3 linked regions of the Lonchura striata genome follow. Each later gene encodes a partner of the first gene's protein in a complex. Links are inferred from orthologs where the notes say so. Each region holds a gene or a part of one and is shown in the gene's direction. Other genes may lie near its edges.

Evidence for each region.
Region 2: the proteins of TFDP1 (region 1) and E2F1 are in contact, whole or in part, in a crystal structure (PDB 2AZE), measured with the Homo sapiens proteins. The link is inferred for Lonchura striata from reciprocal best matches to the Homo sapiens genes TFDP1 and E2F1. Residues at the interface, in NP_009042.1 of Homo sapiens: Glu201, Cys202, Leu205, Glu206, Glu208, Arg209, Arg212, Leu213, Arg215, Ile216, Lys219, Gln220, Gln222, Leu223, Leu226, Ile227, Gln229, Gln230, Phe233, Lys234, Leu236, Val237, Arg239, Asn240, Arg241, Glu244, Pro251, Ser255, Val256, Ile257; in NP_005216.1 of Homo sapiens: Arg202, Leu203, Leu206, Thr207, Asp209, Leu210, Leu213, Gln214, Ser216, Glu217, Leu220, Asp221, Leu223, Met224, Ile226, Cys227, Thr228, Gln230, Leu231, Leu234, Asp239, Ser240, Gln241, Arg242, Leu243, Ala244, Tyr245, Val246, Thr247, Cys248.
Region 3: the proteins of TFDP1 (region 1) and RB1 are in contact, whole or in part, in a crystal structure (PDB 2AZE), measured with the Homo sapiens proteins. The link is inferred for Lonchura striata from reciprocal best matches to the Homo sapiens genes TFDP1 and RB1. Residues at the interface, in NP_009042.1 of Homo sapiens: Gln222, Glu225, Leu226, Gln229, Ile262, Val271, Asp273, Asp288, Asn289, Thr290, Phe291, Glu292, Ile293, His294, Asp295, Glu298, Arg302; in NP_000312.2 of Homo sapiens: Ile835, Ser838, Phe839, Thr841, Ser842, Phe845, Gln846, Ile848, Asn849, Val852, Cys853, Asn854, Ser855, Val858, Leu859, Lys860, Arg861.

What each region holds. Positions count from the first base shown.
Region 1 is NC_134604.1:91,304,547-91,311,682, reverse strand, and holds the start of TFDP1 (transcription factor Dp-1), read left to right. Parts: upstream 1-4,123; 5' UTR 4,124-4,235; intron 4,236-4,433; exon of another isoform or gene 4,434-4,452; intron 4,453-4,750; exon of another isoform or gene 4,751-4,906; intron 4,907-5,432; exon of another isoform or gene 5,433-5,527; intron 5,528-5,653; exon of another isoform or gene 5,654-5,683; 5' UTR 5,684-5,753; coding exon 5,754-5,765; intron 5,766-7,136. UniProt on the Homo sapiens protein: Can stimulate E2F-dependent transcription.
Region 2 is NC_134619.1:12,541,475-12,548,777, reverse strand, and holds the start of E2F1 (transcription factor E2F1), read left to right. Parts: upstream 1-4,298; coding exon 4,299-4,490; intron 4,491-5,160; coding exon 5,161-5,251; intron 5,252-5,820; coding exon 5,821-6,040; intron 6,041-6,403; coding exon 6,404-6,556; intron 6,557-6,671; coding exon 6,672-6,786; intron 6,787-6,892; coding exon 6,893-7,097; intron 7,098-7,303. UniProt on the Homo sapiens protein: Transcription activator that binds DNA cooperatively with DP proteins through the E2 recognition site, 5'-TTTC[CG]CGC-3' found in the promoter region of a number of genes whose products are involved in cell cycle regulation or in DNA replication.
Region 3 is NC_134604.1:61,979,389-61,987,091, forward strand, and holds the start of RB1 (retinoblastoma-associated protein), read left to right. Parts: upstream 1-4,698; coding exon 4,699-4,787; intron 4,788-4,972; coding exon 4,973-5,090; intron 5,091-7,703. UniProt on the Homo sapiens protein: Tumor suppressor that is a key regulator of the G1/S transition of the cell cycle. The hypophosphorylated form binds transcription regulators of the E2F family, preventing transcription of E2F-responsive genes.

The sequences.
Region 1 (7,136 bases):
GATAAGCACCATTTACTGGAAACAGCAATGAGATAAGAAAACAAACAGTAATAGCATCGATATTAATAACAAAATCATACAAAGAGGACCCCAAGACAACAACAGTTTCTTCCTGGAAGAGAGGGAGTCCCTTTTTCCTGCCTCTGGCAATGAGGTAGGATGGTATAGAATAACAAGGTACACATGCCCACTCCAGGCTCCACCCCTTCATGCCTACTGTGGAAAAAAAAGCTCTGTCCTGGCCAAAACCGGGACAACTTGGCTAGGCTTTAGGAGAACTGGGGGAAGAGGAATAGCCTTGTGTGTTCTGTGCCTCCTTGTTGACACAGACTTGGGTTGCCTGGTTCAGTATTAGATGTAAGCGCAAATTGGTAATCTTAACAGACATATCGTAAGTTTGTTTGCAGACATTTGAGATTGCCTCATAGAAATCTGGAGGTATATTGAGATACTGTAAATGTTTCCTGAAATGCAAATAATGGCTGCATGCATAATTCCATGTCCAAATGGGGTAGTCTCATGATATGATCTTAGGACAGAAACAACAGACCTTATTCCTGAATGATCACTCATTCCTGTATGAAAAATGGGGAGAATATTGCATAATCAGCCCACTTAGATATAATTGCAGCTTTTCAGAAACCTTATGTTTGTACTGTGGAATATTCTCTTCTGTGTTAAGCAGGTAAAATTAAAGCAGAGTTCCAGAAGCCCTGAAAGGAAAATCTACTGATTTGTTGAAGGTTTCTTGAAAAACAATGGTCTTTTTCTGGAAATTCTTGTTCCAGCTTGTTGGACAGTGGTTCTATCTCATTCATTAACTAATGATCAGTATAATTTTAATACAGAAAAGCTGATACAGAGCAGAAGCCTTATTAAGTGATGAGAGGATATTCCTATGGTGAAGCTGAACGTAAGGGAGTGAAAAGGAAGGTCTACTCTATGCTTGACTTGCAACTCATTCAGCTACTTTGGGGCTGACATTTTTTTTGGGGGGGGGGGAGGGGGGTTGGTTTATTTATTTTGTAGGTGGATTTAGCTGTGCTTATTTGGCATGGCTTTCTGAAAATTTGAGTTCTTATGTGTTACCCCTTAATTGCTATCCTTGATAATTCTGTGAAGATAAAGGAACCAAAGTAGTTTAAAAGCTGGTAGTGTGGGCTTTGCTTTGTGAGCCATTTCCCTGGCCCTGGGGTCAGATTAGTATGTATGGACCCACAACCACCCTACTTGTGGCTTATCCCATATAGAGTGGGTAGCTTCATTTTGTCAGTAGGAAGGTATTTGTGGGAGCTGTGAGGTGGTTTCCTGAAACTGTGGCTGATGTAGGTCTAGGATGGCTCAAGAATGTGATGCTGGACTAAGTCCATGGCACTACATAGCCTTTTAAAAGCTGTAAAAATTCATCATTTATTTGAGAATTTATCATTCTCAAATATGAGGAAAAGCATCCTCACAAAGCTTGTATTTCACTTGTTTTATGATTGGACATCCTCAGTTTTGCAGGGTGATGTGGGAGTGCCTTGTATGACAGAATATTGCTGTACGATGATGCTTAATAGAGGGGGTGAGAAATCTAGTGTGGTCTTGCCTGTTGGCACAAACCCAGGAACAATCCAACCACAAAAGCACTCTTGGGGTTTGTCTAGGGAAGGAATCCATAGTTCTGCTCAGTAACCAGTCCTGGCAGTATTCCAGCATGTGGGCAGTGCCAAAGGTGGAGGAAACGGGATCCCTGAATGACAAGAGGCGAGCCACACTAACAGTGTTGCTATTTTGTGGGAAATGCAATAGCTTGTAAGGAGCAGCAAAGTATCAGAGATCCAGTGTTGACCTGACAACCAGGGAGCCAACAAAACTACTGCAGGGAGAAGGAAGAACAGTGAGATGTCCTTAGGGCTCAGATATGTGTAGCCCACTCAACCCATAAAGGCAGAAGGCAAAAGCATACCTCTACCAACTTCACTCAGGAGATTTGCTCCTTGGGTTCTCCCACCACCTCTGTTGAGTAATTACCAGTGCTGGGTTGGTCTTAATGACACTTGCAAGACAGTGGGACTAGGAAAACCTTCTGCTGGCTGGAGACAGCAAACTGGACAACATTGTGGCAAGAGCGACTTAGGGATAGCTGATCCTGCCTTGTGGGAAAAACCTGTATCAGAGAGTAGTAAAAATTTCAGTTATGGTACCAAGCTGTATTTTTTATATCCTAAAATAGAGTGGAAATTCGATAACTGGGAGATGGTACCTCCCCAAGAGGCCAGATGTTGACAAGGTGGTCAGGTGACATGAGGTCTTTAAGTCATGAGTTTGCACAGATCACAGTGTTCAGACTGCATGGCTCCCCATTCGCGTGCATTTCCTCTGGCATCTGTTGAAGCTTTCTGCCTATAGACTAGATGACCTCTTGAGACAATTTCCTCACGTCTGTCATGCAGTCCTGCCGCACTGATGCTCTTTAAAGTTATGATCTGTTCTGATTTTCGTGCACCCTTAAAAGGGACAGACACTTCCCAGAAAACTATAAAGTGGAATAGCTTTCCACCGCTACGAACACAAACGAAATCCTAAAGCAACAAAATACCTGCAAAAGGTGTGCTCAGAGATTAGAGAAGTGTTGAAAATTTTTTCACCGGTACAAACACTTCAAATTAGTTGCAAACAACCCTCGGCTAAAGAACAAAAAAAACAAAAAAAAAAAAACCACTACCTAAGAGTTGAGCATGTTTGGGCAGTTAGCATGTATCAAAATAAATTCTAGCGAACTAGGACACTCCTTGTTTGTGCTTGTTCTGTTGACTCGCAAGTGTTTTTCCTACAAGAATTAATGTAAAACAAAAGAGCGGGAGGTGGGTGGATAGGGATGTGAGATACATAGACGGTTTGAACCCTCAGGCACAGTATATATGACCTAAAGGGTGGAGAGGAGCACTATCAACTGGAGATGTCTTTCAGGAAGCAATTTTTTTTTTCTGCAGCTGGCTTATGTGTTTTGTGTGTGAAAGTTTTTGCTGTTTTCTGAAATGTTATAATGTTATTAACACAATTTCATTATTACCTTCTTTCTTCGATGGCCTTTCCCGTCAATCTTAAATCAAGAGGAAAGAAGAAATGGGGTAATAACCCTACAGCAGCACGGGAGGGGGCGGGGGGAGGGGTGGGGCGAGGTGGGAGAGGCATTGTTAATAAAAAACTCCAAAGACTGCTATTTATCAGGAAAATGAACGTAGTGTTTCATTATTATGGTAAAGCACAACAATTCAACGTCTTTTAAAAACCCCAAAACAACAGAGTAAGGTGTAAAAGTGAATGCGAATCTGATAGACTCGTGAAATGCATCTCCTCCAGCATTCTCTCTGCTGGATTTGTCTGCTGCTGCAATGTAGCGGCTCTGTGGTCGTGTGTTCTATTCCCACCTAGTCGTCTTTCCCAGGAAGCAGCATGAATTTAGCGAAAGAACGAGCCTTTTACTTCCTGCTCCTCTCTTCATTGCGTTATGAGCAACCTTGTACCGTGCAGGCTTGCTCTTGCGTGCAGAACTGTGTATAGCTTCCTCCCCCATCGAGCAGCCTTGCATCCACCCCTGTGAGCGGTGATGAGCACGGCTCTTGAGCTTTCCTTGCTTTCCTGCAGTTCCCACTATGACGGCTCTGCCTCTGCAGGCCCCCCAGCAACGCTGTGGGTTTTGGGGTTGCTTTTTCCCCCCAAAATTTACAGGACAACGATGTAAGTTCATCACATAACCCTCGCTAACATGCTCTGTTTCTGCGGTCGTCATGGCACGCAGAGGCTGCACCGCCCGCGGTGCTTTGCTTTTGGGCGCAAGGTTAAGAGCTGCAGCCGCCCGAAGGAAAACTTTCGCTTGGATTACCAAAAAAACCCTAATTTTAGCAACGATCGCTGCAAGCGAAACTTTGCTCGAGTAACGGCCGGACAAGACGCGATGAGGAAGCACCGGCAGCAGGATGTTGTGGCAACGAAACCGCACGGCCCTGCCCGGCCGGCCCCGCTCCGCGCCGGCAGCGCGGCCGCGCCCGCGGGCACCGCTCGGCACCGCGGGGCGGGCGGGGAGTCGGAAGAAGGCGCGAAAATCCCGCGCATGCTCCATGCCCGGCTCCCTCCGCGCCTTGGAGCGGCGGGCGGCCGGGTTGGCTTGGCCGCTCCGCGTGTGTGCCCGCGCGAGGCGCGCCGCGCCCGTGACGTCAGCGCGCAGCGTCAGGGGGACGCACAAAAGTGTAAGTTTCAATTTTTTTTTTTTTTTTTTACATTTTATTAGAAAAGAAAAAAAAAAAAAGAAAAAAAGAAGAGACGAGGGAAGAGTGGCGGGGTCGCGCGCGCAGGGTCCGTGGGAGGGTTGGAGGGGAGGATCGCTGCGCTCGCTCGTCCCCGCTCGTTTACCCGCATCGCCCCCGTTCCCGCGGGCAGCCCCTCGGCGGCAGCGGCGCTGGGCAGGTGTGCGGGGCCGCGGCGTGCGGGGCCGCGGCGTGCGGGGGCGGCCGGCCGGGAGCCCGCCGGGCCGGCTGCCGGCGGGGGCAGAGGCGCGCTGGGAAGTGACAGCCCGCCGGGGAGACCCTCTTGTCCCGCCGCCTCTTCTCCCTGCACCCCCTCCCCCGGAACGCGGGGGGGAAAGGCGGTCCCTGCCGGTGCCCTCTCCTCCCTCCTCGCTTCCCTCCCCTGTTCCCGGGCTGCCGATGTCGGTGTCCCGCCGCCTCCCCCCGCCCCTGCCCCCTCCCGCCAGGCCCGCGCAGCCGCCGCACATGTGCAGTCGGGCGCCTCCGCAGCGGCAGCAGCAGAAGCGGCGGCAGCAGCGCGGCGGGCGGGGGGTGCTCCCGCTCCGCGCTCCGGGTCCCTGTCTCCGGGCGGCGGCGGGGGATGGAGCCGGCTCTCTCTGCCTTCGGCCGCTCAGGTGCGGGCAGCCCGCGCCCGAGGATGGGAGCACCAGGGGCTGCGTGGGACGGCGGCGGGTCGGGCACGATGGGGATGGGGACGGCGCGGACCCACACTCCGCCCGCCGCCCCTTCCCCCCGCGGCCGCCGGCCGTGCCGCCGGGCGCGTCCCCCCTTGCCCGCGCCCCCGCCGCCGAGGCGATTAGCGCGGCCCCTCGCTGCCGGGGGGAGGCGGCGCGGGGCTCGGGGCTCTGCCCGGGCGGTGAGGCCCCGGGCGGGGGGCGCGGGCGGGCGCGGGGTGCCCGAGCCGCAGGGGCGGCCGCCGGTCTGTGCCGCCCGGTGTGGCCGCGGCCCGTCCGCCTGCGAGGAGGAGGAGAAAAGCGGGGTTGGAAGGCCCCGGGGGGAGCTGCCCCTGGGGCCTACTAGTGCCTGCTGCTGGAAATGGGGGTGGGGAGGAGGAGGCCGTGATCGCTGCCCGCGCTCGGCGTTGGAAGGGGCGCAGCTGGACAGGGACCGGCCTCGCGTGGGATCGGGCACGGGCTGGGGGAAGGGCTCTCACTGCCGGGGCACGGCCGGCTCGCCCCCGCCGTCGGGAGAGCAGTGCCCCCCACACGTGAGCCTGGGGCTCGAGGGACGAAAAGGTGATGATGGGAAACTTTTCCCTTTTTAAAAACATGGTTGTTTTTTCAAAAATAAGCCTAAATTGTACTTGGTAGTAGTCAATAATTTCAATTGTAAAAACTTTCCCTCCTTTCATTTTTTTATAGCTGGTGCTGTCTTTGCTTTCTGCTTTCCAGAAAATAGCATTGTCCCTGTGTCCTGCAGCCATCGAGATTTTAAGACGACTGGTTTTTAGTCTTTGGTAACATGGCAAAAGATGTAAGTATATTTGTAGCACATAAAACGTGGAAGCATGGAATGTTTCTATTAACAAAAGCAAACGGGGTCAGGCTTTATAATAGCTGCCATTAATGAGTATGTGGAACTTTATTCTGTGCATCAAGCCTAGGCTGTTTTCCTGTAGACAGTGTAAAACAGCTTCAGATCCGCTGCCATTTTTTCAGAGTGATTAATGTTGCGAATTCCATATGCTAATAACGGCGCTTGGGCCGTTGTCATTATGTGCATTCACATTGAACACTAAAACAGCTTGGGTTTGGATTGGATTGAAAAAAACTCAGCACGTGTTGTTCAGATGGCAGGGCTGTCGTTGACTACTGTTGTCAACTAACGTTGCCTTTCTTGAGTTCAAGAAGGCATCAGACATTTGAGGGAAGATGGTTCATTCTCCATATGTGTTCATAGTTTATCTTTGTCTACCAAATGATGCTTGTTGGTGTCTGTAAAAACAGGCTTTGGGAACTTTCACCGTAGATTTCCATTACTGCTGTTGTTAAAGTTTCAACTTTGATTCTGTGGCCTGCCTTTTGGAGCACCTTTGCTCTTCACCCCTTCTGGTACCTACTAAAAAAAATTCAGTTTATTCTGCCTTTAAGATGTCAGTCATTGTTCATACCTAATATAATAGGGCTTTCATGTTTTCTTATTGAAAATAAGACAATGGCTAGTCTGTATTCAAATTAGAGCATATGTCCCCTTCAAAAAAGCCCAAAACCCCTAAAAAACCAACAGCATGCAAGCTAAAGAAAAGTGATACAATTCACTGGTTAAACAGTAGGTTGCAGCCTAATGTGGAATATTGTAGCTTTCAAATAGTGTTGATTTCCATGAAAGAGTGATTGGCTTAAAAAATAATCTTGTAGGGAATTTTAGTAGTTCAGCTGAAAAACATCTTAATGTGTGGAGAAGCAACCAGACATACGTAGTCACTCAAAGCTTGCCTGGAAGAGATAAGGGTGGCCAAGTACACTACAGATAGCAGAGTTCAGGGAATGATAGGCCATATAAGCGGGAAGAAAACGAAAGTGGAGTGTTATACTAGGAGCTGGAATTGAAATAGCTCAAAGTAATTGAAATGCCAAAGTACATTTGTTTAATACTATCTTTTGGGAGAGAGATCAACTAAGTGAAGAGTTGCTAGCACCTGGAAATACAGATGAACGTCCTGCTGGATCTAAGTGAGAATGAGACATTTAAGAACAAACCTTATTTTTGAAAGATCTAGTTTATTCTTGCAAAGAGAGTAGTTAAGGAAGAAAGGAAGGAATAACTTACCTCAGAATATACTTAAAAAATGGGACAAGGTACTACAGATATGAGAAGAAATGGCTTTAAGTATCTTTAAAGAAA
Region 2 (7,303 bases), on another chromosome or scaffold:
CAAGCACTGCCTGGCTTTTGGGACTGGGATCTGAGAGGAAACACCTAAACCAGGGCTGCCCCTTCTGCCACAAGCCAGCTTTAGACACTTCTAGAAGCTTCCAGAAAGTGGCTTTGGTTTGCACAGAACAACGGTGACGGCTCAGGTGGCAGAGGTGAGGGACTGTAGGGTCAGGGCAGAACTGGGGGGGCTCTGGGCTTTCCCCAGCTGTGTGTCCCCACCACAGGCAGATTGTGCCACACTGCCAACTCACCATCTTGCGAACAAACCAGGGAACTGGGACAGGGACATTGGCAGGAGACCCCAGGGAAGTCCTGCTCTGCTCACATGTGACACACTCCCGGTGGGAACTGCTGGAGGTTGGGACTGCCTCTGCGATGGCAGGGACAGTAAATGTGCTCCTGGGACACCCACAGGCTGCCCTTAACCCAGCAAGGGGTTTGCATCCTGCAGCTCTCCTCCCCCCTGCTCCCGCTGCCAGGTGATTTTCCAGCGCAGGTACCAGCTGTGCTCCAGCTGCAGACTTCTCCCAGCACACAGCCTTGCTCTGAGTCTATCCCACAGTGCCAAACCCACCCAAACTCAGCGGCTGCCACGGCACGAGGTGTCTGAGCAGCCTTCCCACTGCTGTGCAGGAGAGAGCGGGGCTGTGCAGGCAGGGATGGGCAGACAGGGATGTGCAGGCAGGGATGAGCAGGCAGGGATGTGCAGGCAGGGATGGGCAGGCAGGGATGAGCAGGCAGGGATGGGCAGGCAGGGATGTGAAGGCAGGGCTGAGCAGGCAGGGATGGGCAGGCAGGGCTGTGCAGACAGGGATGAGCAGACAGGGATGAACAGGCAGGGCTGTGCAGGCAGGGATGTGCAGACAGGGATATGAAGGCAGGGATGTACAGGCAGGGATGTGCAGGCATGGATGTGCAGGCAGGGCTGTGCACGCAAGGATGTGCAGACAGGGATGAACAGGCAGGGATGAACAGGCAGGGATATGCAGACAGGGATGTGAAGGCAGGGATGTGCAGACAGGGATGTGCAGACAGGGATGTGCAGACAGGGATATGAAGGCAGGGACATGCAGACAGGGCTGTGAAGGCAGGGATGTGAAGGCAGGGATGAGCAGACAGGGATGTGCAGACAGGGATATGAAGGCAGGGACATGCAGACAGGGATGTGCAGACAGGGATGTGAAGGCAGGGATGTGCAGACAGGGATGTGAAGGCAGGGATGAGCAGACAGGGATGTGAAGGCAGGGATATGAAGGCAGGGACATGCAGACAGGGATGTGCAGACAGGGATGTGAAGGCAGGGATGTGAAGGCAGGGATGAGCAGTCTGGACTTTATCGGGAGCAGCACCTGCCGCACGGATAATCTCGGGAGCACGTCCGCGCTCCTCAGCGGGGCTGCCGGGGGAGGCTGCAGTTGTGCAGGAGACAGAATTCATCTGCTTCCCCTCACCCACATGCCAGAAAGGCCCTGCCCGTCCTTCTCCCACCAGCGTTCGCCTTTCATTTGTCTCCACAGCCGCCCCTTTTCGCGCCGCCGGCGCTGAAAGCCTCGGAGAAGTCGAAGCGCAGCCTCCGGGAGAGGGGGCAGAGCCTGCTCCCCCCGAAGAGCTCCTGCATGAATTAGGGGGGTGAAGGCAGCCTTTGTGAGCCGAGCGGGAGCAGCTGGTGCAGCAGCTGTGTCCCAAACCCTGCCTCATCCCAGGAAGCGCCGGGCTGAGGCTCCCCAGGGATGGGGAGAGCACCGCCAGCCATGCGCTCCCGCCCGGCTGCTGGGGTTGCCTTTTTCCCCCTTCCCCAGATGGAAGAAGCATTAACTGTGTGCAAACATCTGGTCTAACTGTTGCTTATGCTTCCTAGTAATGATGATATTGCAGTGGAAGGGCTCTGGAGAGTGGGGCCCGGAATATTAGAAGGGCCAAGTGTTAATTAACTATATTAATTTCCTTTAAGCAAGGCAGCGTTTCTATTTGCTCTCTGCTGATGAAGAAATGAGGCACAGCGAGTTTATTGGATTGGTCACGGACATGCACCATGTTACTGCTGTATTTAAGGATGGAGGGACCCAGGGAAATCACAGCCCTGCTCCACACTGGCCACCCCCAGAGGAATTGCAGCCACTGCCAAAGCATCCAGCATAAAATCCTTTAAAGCCAGAAACCTGTTAGGCCAGCACAGGGGCACTGCATGTCAGGATCTGCTCCACAGCAAAGAGGTTAACTCATCCCTGCAAATGCCTCCTGCATCCCACGCACTGCTGGGAAAACAGCCCTTCTCCTGCAGTGCTGGGAAAACAGCCCTTCTGCAGTGCTGGGAAAACAGCCCTTCTCCTGCATCCCGGGCAGGTCAGGGTTGGCAGCAGGAGCCAGCACTGGCTCACAGCTCTGCCTGGCAGCAGCAGTGGGCTGGGGGTCACTGTGCTCGACCACCAACCCCCGGGGGCACGTGGGGGGCACAGAGGGGTCAAACCCTGAGCTTGGCTCAGCATGGGTTTGGGTGCTTGGATCAGACCCCTCTACAAACTTTCCTCATGAGCTTCCCCATGTCTGGGCCTTGCAAAAAGCCTAATCTTTAAATGCTTTTTAATTTTTTTTTTTTATTAGCAGGATGTACTTTTTTCCTTTTTAATTTTGCCTCCTCATGCAGCAGGAGGTTATCAGTGTCCTGCAGACAGGAGATACTGGTGCTGGGAGCTGCCTGTCCCGTGTCTCATGGGTGGACTCTCATCTTTCTCAGCATATGGGGCCACTCCCGGCTCCGTCTGCCGTCCCTGTGTCCCTGCCTCTCCCCAGCCACACGCTCCCACGGCCGGAGATAGCGCCTGGCACGGTCAAGTGCAGGTTGTGCTCCCGGCAGAGCTTTTCCTCTGCCCTCTAAGGGGTTATCAGCCATTCCTGAAGGAGCTGCCGAGATCCGCAGCTGTTTGCAAACAGAATGCCGTGAATCCCCGGGCAGACGGATGGAGCAGATTGCAGCATCCCAGCCCTCCCGTGTGCGCTGGGCCCTGGAGCAGCGTCAGAGCCCGAAGCCTCCAGATTTGTCGGACAGCCTCAGCCGTGGTCTCGGGGCTGCTTCCACAAGGGAGGTGGACAGCCCTGAACCGAGCCCTTCAACGCCCCAGCGCCCAGACAGAAATCCTGCCCACGGCCCGCAGCACAGGAGAGGAGCCACTGATGTCCCCACTGCGAGGCATTGCTGCGGGGGGCCGGGCCAGGCTGGGCTGGCTGTCACCCCCGGGCAAGGGGAACACACGGGGGGCAGCCTGCGACGCCCCGCAGAGCCCAAAGCCGCCCTCTTCCCCAGCAGTGACACCCGTGGGCGGGCGGAGTCCGCAGGGCAGGGGAGCGAGCTGAACTTTGCTCGTGGGTGCGTGCCCCGTCCTCCCGCGCCATCCGGAGCGGGGAGCGGCCGCGCCCGCAGCCGGAAGCGCAGCACCCCGGCGGGGCTGAGCCCGGGCCGGGACCGGCTCGGCCCGAGCCCTGAAATCCCCACGGCTGGGAACACCGGCAGCCGGGGCCGGCTCGGAGCGAGGAATCCGCGGCGGCACACGAGGGGGACACCCTCTTGTCAAACAGGGACACGGGAGGGGACACCTCGAGAGGGACACGGGGGACACAAAGAGGGACACGGAGGGGACACCCCGAGGGGGACACGGGGGACACAAAGAGGAACACGGGAGGGGACACCCCGAGGGGGACACCGAGACACGGAAGGGGACACCCCGAGGGGGACACGGGGGACACAAAGAGGAACACGGGAGGGGACACCCCGAGGGGGACACCGAGACACGGGAGGGGACACCCCGAGGGGGACACGGGGGACACAAAGAGGGACACGGGAGGGGACACCCCGAGGGGGACACACGCAGCGCGCGCCGCACCCGCGCTGCGCCCCCGCCGCGTCCCCGAGCCGCGCTCCCATTGGCCGCCGCCCGGGCGCGGCGCCGCTGATTGGCCGCCTGTCAGCGCGGCCCCCGCCCGCCAATGGCCGCGCGGCACCGCCCGCCGCCCCGCGCGCCGCGGCCAATGGCAGCGCGTTCTCTCCTCCCCGCCGAGGCGGGCGCAGCCAATGGGCGGGCGGCGGGGCGGCTCGCGCCGCTTTTCGCGGCAAAAAGGATTTGGCGCGCAAAGGCGCGCGGGGCCGGCGCGCCGAACAATCCGGCGGCGGCCGCACCGGAGCCGGAGCCGGAGCCGGAGCTGGAGCGCAGCGGCCCCGCGCCCGCCATGGGCCGCGCCCCTGTCCGCGCCCTGCCCGCCGCGCCGCCCGCCGCACCGGCGGCACCGGCTGCCATGTGAGCCATGGCGGCGGCGGGCGGCGCGGCGGGGCTGGCAGCGCTGCTGGGCAGCGCCTCCCCGCACCTCCTGATCGTCTCCGCCGCCGAGGAGCCCGCGGGCGGCGGCCACCCCGATACCGACCTCCTGCTCTTCGCCACGCCGCAGCCCGCCCGCCCCGGCGCCGCGCCCAGACGGCCCGCGCTGGGCCGCCCGCCGGTAACCCCCGCGAGTGGGATGGGGAGCGGGCGGGGGCCGGGCGGGGGCTCCGGGGACCGGCGAGCCCGGGCTGTGTTCCGAGCTGTGCAGTATTGGGCCTCGAACCGGCCTGTAACGACCGGGCCGTATACCCGACCGGGCTACACCGAGCCGGGCTGTACAATGGGCCCGGCTGCGTACCGGGCCGTGCTATGTAGCGAGCCGTGCCAAAGCCAGCCGGGCTGTACAGCGGACAGGGCTCCGTACCGGGCCGGACCGTATTTCACCCTGCTGTGCCCCGTGCTGTGCCATATGCCGTGCCCTGCTCCGTGTCAGCCCGTGCCCGGTGCACCCGGCTGTGCCAGGCTGTACGGCCGGGCCGTGCCACGCAGCACCTGCCGGGCCGGCCCTGCCCCGCCGCCGCTCCGGAAGCCGCAGGCCCCGGCGCCGGGCCGTGCTTGGCCTCCCCAGCCACGGCCCGGTCGGCTTTGGGGCGCTCCCCGCAGCGCGGCGGGGCCCCGCGGCTGGGCCAGCCCCCATCCCTGCCAGCGGGGTGACAGCTCTCATCAACCCCTTCCTGCCGGGATCCGGGGTGTCTGTACCCCACTGTGCTGTGGGGGGTCCTCACAGAAACCCTTCACAGCAGTGGGGCCTGGGGCGGCTGTCCCTGTGCTGACCCCGGCCCTTGCAGGTGAAGAGGAAGCTGAACTTGGAGACGGATCACCAGTACATAGCGGAGAGTTTGCCAGTGAGCCGGGGCAAGGCCAGGAACCCCGCTAAAGGTACCGGCTCCACTCCCCCCGGCCCCCTTGCCAGCCCAGCTCAGAGCAGAGGTCCAGCAGCCCCACTCTGCTCCCCCAGGCTCATCCTGGTAGCTCCTTCCAGGCCCTTTGTGTCGGTGTGGATGGGCTGTTCCCGGGGCTGGCCTGCCTCTGTCCACCCTCCACACTCACTGCTGTGCCCTGTGCTGGTGGCATGGCTGTCCTGCCCTTGTGCTGGGCACCCCTCCGGCTCTGTCCCTCCCCGTGGGATGGAGCTGTAGGTGCCAGCATGGTGTCAGTGCAGTGTCCCAGGTGGACCTGCTGTTATCTCCCCCCAAGCCCAGCCTGGCACTTGGTGTCTCAGTCACAGCTGTGGTCACAACGGAGCACAGGTGTCACAGCTTGTGCCAGGTGCTGCAACATCCTTCCTACAGGGGATTTGGGCAACTCACCCCGTTGCCCTGAGATAACAGATTGGGTTTGGGGTGCCAGTCCTGGTCACTAGTCCACAAGCCACCTGCAAGTATGGCAGGAGTTTTGTGACCTTTCAGCTTCAGCTGTGGATGAAACTTGTCCTCCACGTCTGGCAGGGGCAAAGTCTCCTGGAGAGAAGTCCCGCTATGAAACCTCCCTGAACCTCACCACCAAGCGCTTCCTGGAGCTGCTGAGCCAGTCCCCAGATGGTGTGGTGGACCTCAACTGGGCGGCCGACGTCCTGAAGGTGCAGAAGAGGCGCATCTACGACATCACCAATGTCCTGGAGGGCATACAGCTCATCACCAAGAAGTCCAAGAACCACATCCAGTGGCTGTATGTCGCTGGCTCATGGGGCTGTGCCTGGCTGTTCCTGGGGTGGGGGAGCTGTCTGGGAGGAGGAGGGTCTTACCTGGGTGGAGAATTTCAGGGCGGGGTCACCAGAGCTTCTGCTGCAGGCCAAGTGGTGGCTCCCTGTGGGGACGGCTGTGCTCAATGGCAGGAGGGTCCTGCGAGTCCCCCTGGGACTCCCCGAGTCACCCAGGGGAGGGGAGGGCTGCATCCAGCCTTGGGGGAGCAGCACTCTGCTGCAAAATCCCTGCAGGGCTGGTTCCCTGCCGGGGGGGTGGGATGTGGCCTGGCCTGGGTGGGGCCCTGGAAGCTGTGGGAGCGGCTCCTGATGGACACGGTGCTCCCCAGGGGCAGCCAGGCCACGGTGGGAGCGCCAGGCCGGCACCGGCTGCTGGAGAAGGAGCTGCGGGAGCTGCAGGCGGCCGAGCGGCAGCTGGATGACCTCATCCAGATGTGCACGGTGCAGCTGCGCCTGCTCACCGAGGACCCCGCCAACCAGCAATATCCTTTGGTTCTGGGGTGGGGCTGGCTGGGTGGGGCTGTGCTTGAGCCGCGGTGGCACAGGCAGGGAGTTTCTCAGCCCACATCCCCGTGTCCCTTCCTTGACCCACCCCACCGCAGCCTATGTCACCTGCCAGGACCTCCGCAGCATTGTGGACCCCGCGGAGCAAATGGTGATGGTTATCAAAGCCCCCCCAGAGACCCAGCTGCAGGTCTCAGACCCAGCAGAGGTGAGTTGGGGTCACGTTCTGCTCCTGCTGTGCCCTCCCTGAACAGCCCCGGCTGTTCCCTGGGTGTTCTTGTGCCACCTTGTCTCACTCCTGTCCCCTTCCCCAGGCATTCCAGGTCTCCCTGCGAAGCACTCAGGGCCCCATTGATGTGTTCCTCTGCCCCGAGGACAGCTCTGGGGTCTGCAGCCCCGTCAAGAGCCCCTTCAAAGCCCCTGCAGAGGACTCTTCTCCCAGCCATTCCCAGCCCAGAGCCTCCCTGCTCCTGCATCCTGCCCAGGATGTGAACATGCCGCTGCTGCCTGGAGAGCAAGGTGGGCCTGGGGACACGAGGGAGCTGGGGACACGAGGGAGCTGGGGACACGAGGGAGCTGGTGGGATGTCACAGTGGCTCTCATCAGCCCCTCTGCCGTTGGCACAAGCAAGGAGCTGCCATGCTGCTCAGGCACCCCAACAAGGCAGGGAGGTGGGAAGGCAGCAGCTCCATAGCCAAGAAAGCTTTTTTTGGGGTTTCTTTGGA
Region 3 (7,703 bases), about 29 Mb from region 1:
TGGTACTTGTGTGACAAAACACAGGCTGTGATGCAGCTGTGCATGCAAGGGCATGATTTATACTGATATCCAGGAACCCTTGTAAGCAAGGAAAGCCATACCAGGAATGATCATTTTTTGTCTGATGTAATTGCACTGTCACTAGGGCTTAATCTGATAAATTGCACCAGTCAGTGATTTTATTTTTTAGTACCCTGGCTCTCAGCACTAGTGCAAATCTGTTAAAACAGACACAGCTCTGACAGCCATTCTCACAGAGAACAAAAAATGTGGAGGGTCTGTATAAGTAGTTATGATTCCTCTATAAAAAAATACAACTGAGTAAAAAGAAAGTGACACTCAAGTCTAAAAGCTTGATCAATGCAAAACCTCTCTGATGTCCAAGAAAAATAACTGGAAGTATCTGTGAAGGGTTGAGGTTTTGCACATAGGCATCCTTTAGATGTAGCCATTTCCCCATCCAGTAACAGTGGTGTCCTTTCAGATCCCACTGGCAGTTTGGTCAAATGTTTTATTAATAGAGATTCCTGCCTTAAACTTATCACTGCAGTCCTGAGAGTCCAGCAGTGCCCTGTGTAGTGCTCTGAGAAGAGCAAGCCACCAATGCCTGTAACTGTGGAGTGAAAAGTATTCTTTTTAATAATAATATCAATGTATAGAGAGAGGCTTTGAATTTTTACAAGTGGCAACGTCTGACAGATCCCTCTCATCTTAAAGAGAAATGGGTAGATGTTTGTTATGGTCCCTATGGATTTTACCTCACTGTGGAAATATTAACTTACAGAGGGGGTTTTTATTCTTCATATCTCAGGATGTGTATTTGTGTAGGAAACAATGGCACAAAGGTCAGGCTCACCACCACCAAGAGGAACAACCAAACAGTTTCACCCCATCTCCCCAGTAAACCCTTCCCAATTTCAAAGGCAGAGTGATGCCAGCACAATCACAGAGTTACCAGGGGAGGTGATGCTGGGGAATGCAAAGGGCCTGTTCAAGCCATGGCCTGAATGTCCCTGAGGATCTCCTGCAGCAAGACTGTCACTTGGGTCTGCCTGCTGCACCAGGTGCTTCTCCAAAAAGGCTCTTCTTAAGGCCTGGGGCCTGTAGGGCAGCAGCTGGTGAAAAGTTAGCCTGCACCTCCTTGCTCCTGTTAGCACTCGTGCTGGGGCTTGAGAAGGACAGGTGGGCTCCAGGTGACACTGATGGCAGAGGGCTGGGGGCTGCTGAACAGTGCAAGGAATGTGAATGCACAGAAAAGGCTGGCTAGGAAAGCCTCTGTCCCCTCCCTAGATAATTCTGCCTGTTACATGCAGGAAAATGGGTGTGATACATGCAGACATCTTTATAGTCTTTGAGTTTTACAGCCTATGGGCTTTATTTGAGCAGAAATTCTGCCAATATTTAGTATTTGGACTTATATCCAGAAGCTCTCAATTTAGTGGGGTTTTAAATGCAGATGTTTTGGTCATACAACTTCAGAAAACTGATTTTACTATAATTGAAATAATGGCTTTAATTCCAACTGGCAATTACCATGAAATACTTTTAAGTGAAAAAATTAGGATAATAAAATTACCTAAGGTTGTCTTTTGTTATGTAACAAAATTACCTAAGGCTGGAAACAATGAGTCAGAACTGGACAATGCTTCACATATGTCCGTGACCTATACTATAAAAGCAGTTGGAGTAAGATGCTTAGAATGAAGGTTTTGTCAGATCAGATGCAAAAACTATCATTAATACTTTATTTGACATTGCAGTGTTTTCTTTGTGCTTCCCCAATAGCAGCTGATTTTTTTCTTTCCTTTGTAATTTTACTGTAATTTTACTGAAAAGTCTAAAGGCTTCATTTAGAAGATGTTTTAGAATACAGGATTAAAACTTTCAAATCAGTAAGTCTTAAAAGGAGAAGGGGAAAGAGGTGCAGCAACTTAAGTATGGTTTTACACAAGGATGTGCCTTTCTTTGGAAGTACATACATGTTAACTCTTCTTACTGCAGTTTAGATGTAGTTACTATACCCAAGGCTTTGGGATGGATTATTAAAGGTTATTTTTGCTTGATTCATCTGCTGTTCCCTTTGCCTCCTTCCAGCTGTAAGTTGAAGCATTCTGAGATTATATTTTTTTTTACCTATTTATGGAGGGGAGCCCTCAGAGCCTTGCTTGATGAAAAAGTACCTAAAATTTGACATGACAAGGTGCTTGGTGCACTAACAATTTTTTAAAAATAGTATTTACACTGAGGCTAGTTTGTGAACTTTTTAAAAGGAGCAATGCACAGAGGGCCACGAGACAAATTCTTTGCCTGCCATCTGGACGATGCAGGGCCTGGCTGTAACAGCATGTTAAAGCAGCTGCGAGGGAAGCGACCCAGGAGGGTGTGTTTGTTTGTCTTGCTAACAGCTGGCATGGCCTCCACTGGCTGCAACCAAGTTTTCTGAGATGCTTTGCTCTCATTTTAAATTCTTTTGTGCTCTTAAAGCCAGTTCTGAGGAGAAGGCAATGGACTCAGCTGTGGTTTAGGGGTTCAGCTTACTTTTCCAAGCTGGTCTGTCTACTTGTCTGTGGTTCAGTGGTTGATGACAGACAGTCCTACCCCAAACCTTCCACAGCATCTGGTACCATCTGAATACAAAAAGTATTTAAATGTGCTTAGAAGCAGGGTAAAGCTACTGCCACAATTTTACTAGAATCATAATCAGGAATGTCCAAATCCCACTACAGTCTACAACTCAAACGTTTAATTTGGAGTTTATGTACTTTGATTTGTTCTGTATTCACTTTTCTGTAATTGGTTTAATTCTAATTATAAAGCAGAAAGCCAGACACTGTTCTCCTGTTTTAAGTTAAGAATCATAAAGGACACGCCTGAACAAATTACTAGAATGTATGGTTGTAAAAATACTAGGGAATTTTAATTGTATAACACATTAATGCTCATGCTGATTTTTGTTTGGGATTTTCTTAAATCCAGAGTTTTGACAGCAGTCTCACTAAAAGCAGTTGCTTTACAGGTGAATGACAGATACGTGCAGGTAGTAAGAATACTTACATACAAATACTTTTCCTTTTTTAAGAAGTTGTCATCATGTAAGTCTGAAAATAAACATGCTTGTTTACAGCAGAGATTGGCCTTCTAAATGTGAGTATGCAACTGCAGACAACAAAGCAGATTTCTAAGATCTTTGAATCAGAGCACTGGCAATTTGAATCTCATTGACTTAAAATCCAGATGTCCACAACCTGAACTTTTTACATTAATGTAATTTTACTGCACAGTGCTAGAAATAACATTTCAGTTAGGACTTGGATGAATTCAGATTGAGACGTCACTGAATCATTTAGGTTTGAAGACCTCAGAAGACCTCTGAGATCATCAAGGCCATCCTTTGACTGGTCACCTACCACCTTGTCAATGAGACTATGGCACCAAATGCCATCATGTCTAGTTATTTCTTGAACACCTTTTGGGATGGTGACTTCACTGGGCAGCCCATTCCAATGTTTAACAATCCCTTCTATGATTAAATTCCTCTTGGTGTCCAACCTAAACTTCCCCTGGTGCAGTCTGAGGCCACAACCTCTTGTCCTGTCACTTGTTACCTGTGAGAAGATGCCAACCCTCACCTCACTACAGGCTTTGCTCAGGCAGTTGCAGAGAGCAGTAAGGTCTCCCAAGCCTCCTGTTTCCAGGTTAAACACCCGCAGCTCCCTCAGCCACTCCTCACAGGACTTGCGCTCCGGACCCTTCCCTAGCTACCCTGCCCTTCTCTGGACTTTCTTCTCGAGAGGAGCTGGACACAGTTGAGTTATAGCCCCACCCGTGCCGAGCACAAGGCGACAATCCCTGCCCTGCTCCTGCTGCCCACACTGTTGCTGATGCAGGCCAGGATGCCATTGTCCTTCTTGGCTACCTGGGCACACTCTGGCTTCACATTCAGCTGCTGCCGACCAGCACCCCCAGCTCCTTTCACCCCGGGCCACTCCCAGCCGCTGTGCCACCAGCCTGCAGCGCTGCCAGCGGCTGCTGTGACCGGCGCGCAGGGCCGGCACTTGGTCTCCATGAACCGACAGATCCTAAAGGATCTGCAATTCTTGCTCCGCTCTGCGCCTGTAGTTATTCCGTACAGTTATTCTCACACACCGGCCCGCGTTCCTTCCCAGCTCACGGAAAAGATGTACCGGCTGTGCTCGCTGAGTGCCTGAAGTCTCAGGCACGGCGGGGCCGCCGTTCCCGCGGCGGCTCTGGGGCCGCGCCGCGCCGCCTCTGCCCCGGTCCCGCCCCGAGCCCGGGCCGCGCCGCGCCGCCTCCGCCCCGGTCCCGCCCCGAGCCCGGGCCGCGCCGCGCCGCCTCCGCCCCGGTCCCGCCCCGAGCCCGGGCCGCGCCGCGCCGCCTCCGCCCCGGTCCCGCCCCGAGCCCGGGCCGCGCCGCGCCGCCTCCGCCCCGGTCCCGCCCCGAGCCCGGGCCGCGCCGCGCCGCCTCCGCCCCGGTCCCGCCCCGAGCCCGGGCCGCGCCGCGCCGCCTCTGCCCCGGTCCCGCCCCGAGCCCGGGCCGCGGGCGGGGCGGGGCGCGGCCGCCGGCGCGGAAGTGACGGAAGTGGCGCTGACGCCGTTTTCCCGCGGTTCGGGCGGCGGGCGGGGGCAGCGGCCCCGGTCAGTGCTGCCCGCGGCGGGCGCTCCCGGAGCCGCTCCCGCCATGCCGCCCAAGCCCCCGCGCAGGGCGGGCGCCGCCAGGGCGCAGCGCCCCAGCCCCGACGGCGGCTCCGCGCCGCCCGCCGCCCCCCGGTAAGGGCTCTCGGCGCCCCGCTGCAGGCGGGCGGGCCGCCCCGGGGCTCTCGGCGCCCGGCGGGCCGGGCTGTGGGCGGTGCGGGGCGGTGTCACCCCGGGGCGGCTCCGGCAGCCGGTGGCGTGGGTCTCGTGGTCGCCCCGCGGTCCCTGTCCCCGCTGGCGATGTGCGATGCTTTTCCTAGGGTCGAGGTCGGCGAAGCGGACTTCGCTGCGCTGTGTGAGGCGCTGAAGGTGTCGGAGAGCGTGAGGGAGAGAGCGTGGAAGACGTACGAGAGCTTGTCGGCAGCGGATGGAGCTCTGGTGAGTAGCGGCATCGCTCGGTCTGCCCTGTGCCCCAGCTCAGGCGCTGCGCCCTAGCTTCGCTGCAGCCGCGGCCGGGGCTCCCACAGCCAAAGCTCACGTACTCTGCTTTTTCCAAGCGAAGGTAGACTGAAGTGGGGTGTTGCCATGTTCACGTCTGTGTAAACCGGCTTCTGTAGATTGCTCTTTTTTGTTAATATTTTGTGATAAAAGTGCGTGCTCAGGAGTCCTTTTAGATAACTAACAAGTGGCATTAGAAAATAGCACCATGTGATCAGCGAATTCTTCCAACTGCAAGTTATTTCAAATATGTCTTAATCAGCTTTATACAGGTAGTCTTACTGTGTGTTTCTGTGTATTTTTTCCCCTTTGCATCTTTTATGAAGCTGCAGAAAGGGTATTGAGATGACTGTTGCAGAGACAGTTGCCTTTCTGTTGCATAATGTTAACCTGTGCTTATCAATGAGGCATTTCCGTTCAAATTAGTCATTAGGCATGTGTAAACAGATTAATAAAGCCTTTCTTGATTTTTGCTTTTCCTTCTCCTCAGTATGAGCTGGCTCAGAGGACAGCTGTAATACAGCTAAATCATGGCAAAAGCTTTGTTGTAGAGTCCTGATGCAGTTGCATAATATCTAGCTGGGGTATTATTCCCACCGTGTGGACTTGCATTGATGTACGTGTTCTGACTTCTGCTTACCCTTCTGCAACTTGAGCTGACCTGTCACAGCTATGCTGTCACTACTAATAGTTTGTAATCTGTGTTTTTTAAACTGCAGTGTGGATATACCAGGTCTTGATACATTCACATAATGGACTAACAATATAATGGAAGGGAGACTGCACAGCTCTTTCAGTAACAGATATAATTTCTGGTCATGGGTGTTCATGGGAAACATTCACCTAAAATCATAGTCAAGTTCCTCTATAAGAATGAAAACAGGAGTAGTCATTTCCCTTGATTGAAAAAAAAAAAAACAAGGCAGGTTGCAATATAATCCTGAAAATTTCATTTACAGGTAAAGTTTTGTTTTCACTGATCATTACTTAGCAGTGAACAGATAAGATACATGGTGGTTGAAACCTTTCAGCATCTGGAGATTGCTTCCTTTACCTATTCAGAACCAGACCTTCATTATGATATATAAATAATACCTGTTGTCTTGCAATTGTTTGTTGACAGTCTTTCAATGTACAGGGAAAAAAAAAAATCTACATTTAATTTCAGTCCAAGGCCTTTTGCTCAGACTTAGAGCTCTATCTGCAGGGTGTTGAAATGAGTAAGCTGTCAACTGTGTGCCTCCATGGGGACCTGGAAGGCACTGGAGTTGCTACTTCTAGCTGAGAGCAGGCTTTGTCTGACTCTGAAGTCAAGCAAAGTAACAGCCTGGCTAGTTGCTGCTTCTTTTCCCAAGTCAAGCTCTTACGGCAAGCCTGGCTTCTCAGGACGACTCTGTTCTATTCTTCAAGTTGCAGGGATTCAGGCGGAGGCTGCTCTTTTCTTCCCTCTGGTAAAGGTATTATGTTGGAGGGGCAGTCCCAGGGTTTGTCCTGCAAGCACCAGCTGCATGTGTTTTGATCAGTGAGGTTCAGTAGTAACCTGTTCAGTTCTGAACTGGAGCAGAAGCTGTGTAGCAGCTTTCTGTTCTCAAGCAAAAAGTTAAACAGCAGGCCACCAGTTGAGACAAATACTTACCAGAACACTTCTGTTTAGCAATGTAGTTGGTTTGACTTGAAAAAGCTTAAATCATAAGGCTGCTGATGGAAATAGAGGTAGAATCTAAGAATCCACCTCTCAAGCCATTTACAAAGTACAAAGACCTGAAACCTTGCCTTTCTTGGCTCACTGGCCTTGTTTTATTGTGGTTGATACTAGAATTGTGCCTGCCAAATCTCTGAGGACGTGAAGGGCACTTGTACTGGTAACTAGAAAGCAGTATGGCCGAGACTTTAGGTACCGTGGTAACTGGCAGATACTCAGGGTGCAGATGTGGGTTTGGATGCAGTCTGAACATCTGCCATATCCTTGCTCAGTGCACATTTAATGACTTGAAAACATCTTGCATACTGTCCTTTTTGAGTTGCTTAGGGTGCATGTGTAGAGACTCTGCAAACCAGGTAAATGTGGCTTAGAAGTATAAAGCAATTATTTTTGGCAGGCATTTACACAATAAATTGCTAGAATGTCGTGACCTAGCAGCCTAAATGTGCCTGTGCTTCAGTGAGACATTTTATTGGCCAGGCAGGCGTAAGCCAGGAGGAGAGAACCTGTTATCTGCTACTCCCTGGAATGAATGCCAATGCCCATTGGAGCCACTGCTTTTTTTTCCATCAGATGTCACAACTTTCCACTCTGATATTTTTTTTTCTTTTGAACATTGGAGCTACTAGTGGTGATACTTTGAAATTTCAGCTTTCTTATCTTGCCCTTCCTTTCCAAGCACTTTAGCTTTCCTTGCAGTGGTCTCCAGTTACCTGTTTCCACAGCATGTGAGTCAAGGATATACAGGTGCACCCTATTGCAACTGGGCTGTGAGTCCTTGAAACAGCTGAACCTCTTTGACAGGTGTGGAGGAGGAGCAAGGTGACGAGAGAGATGGTAACACAACTTTT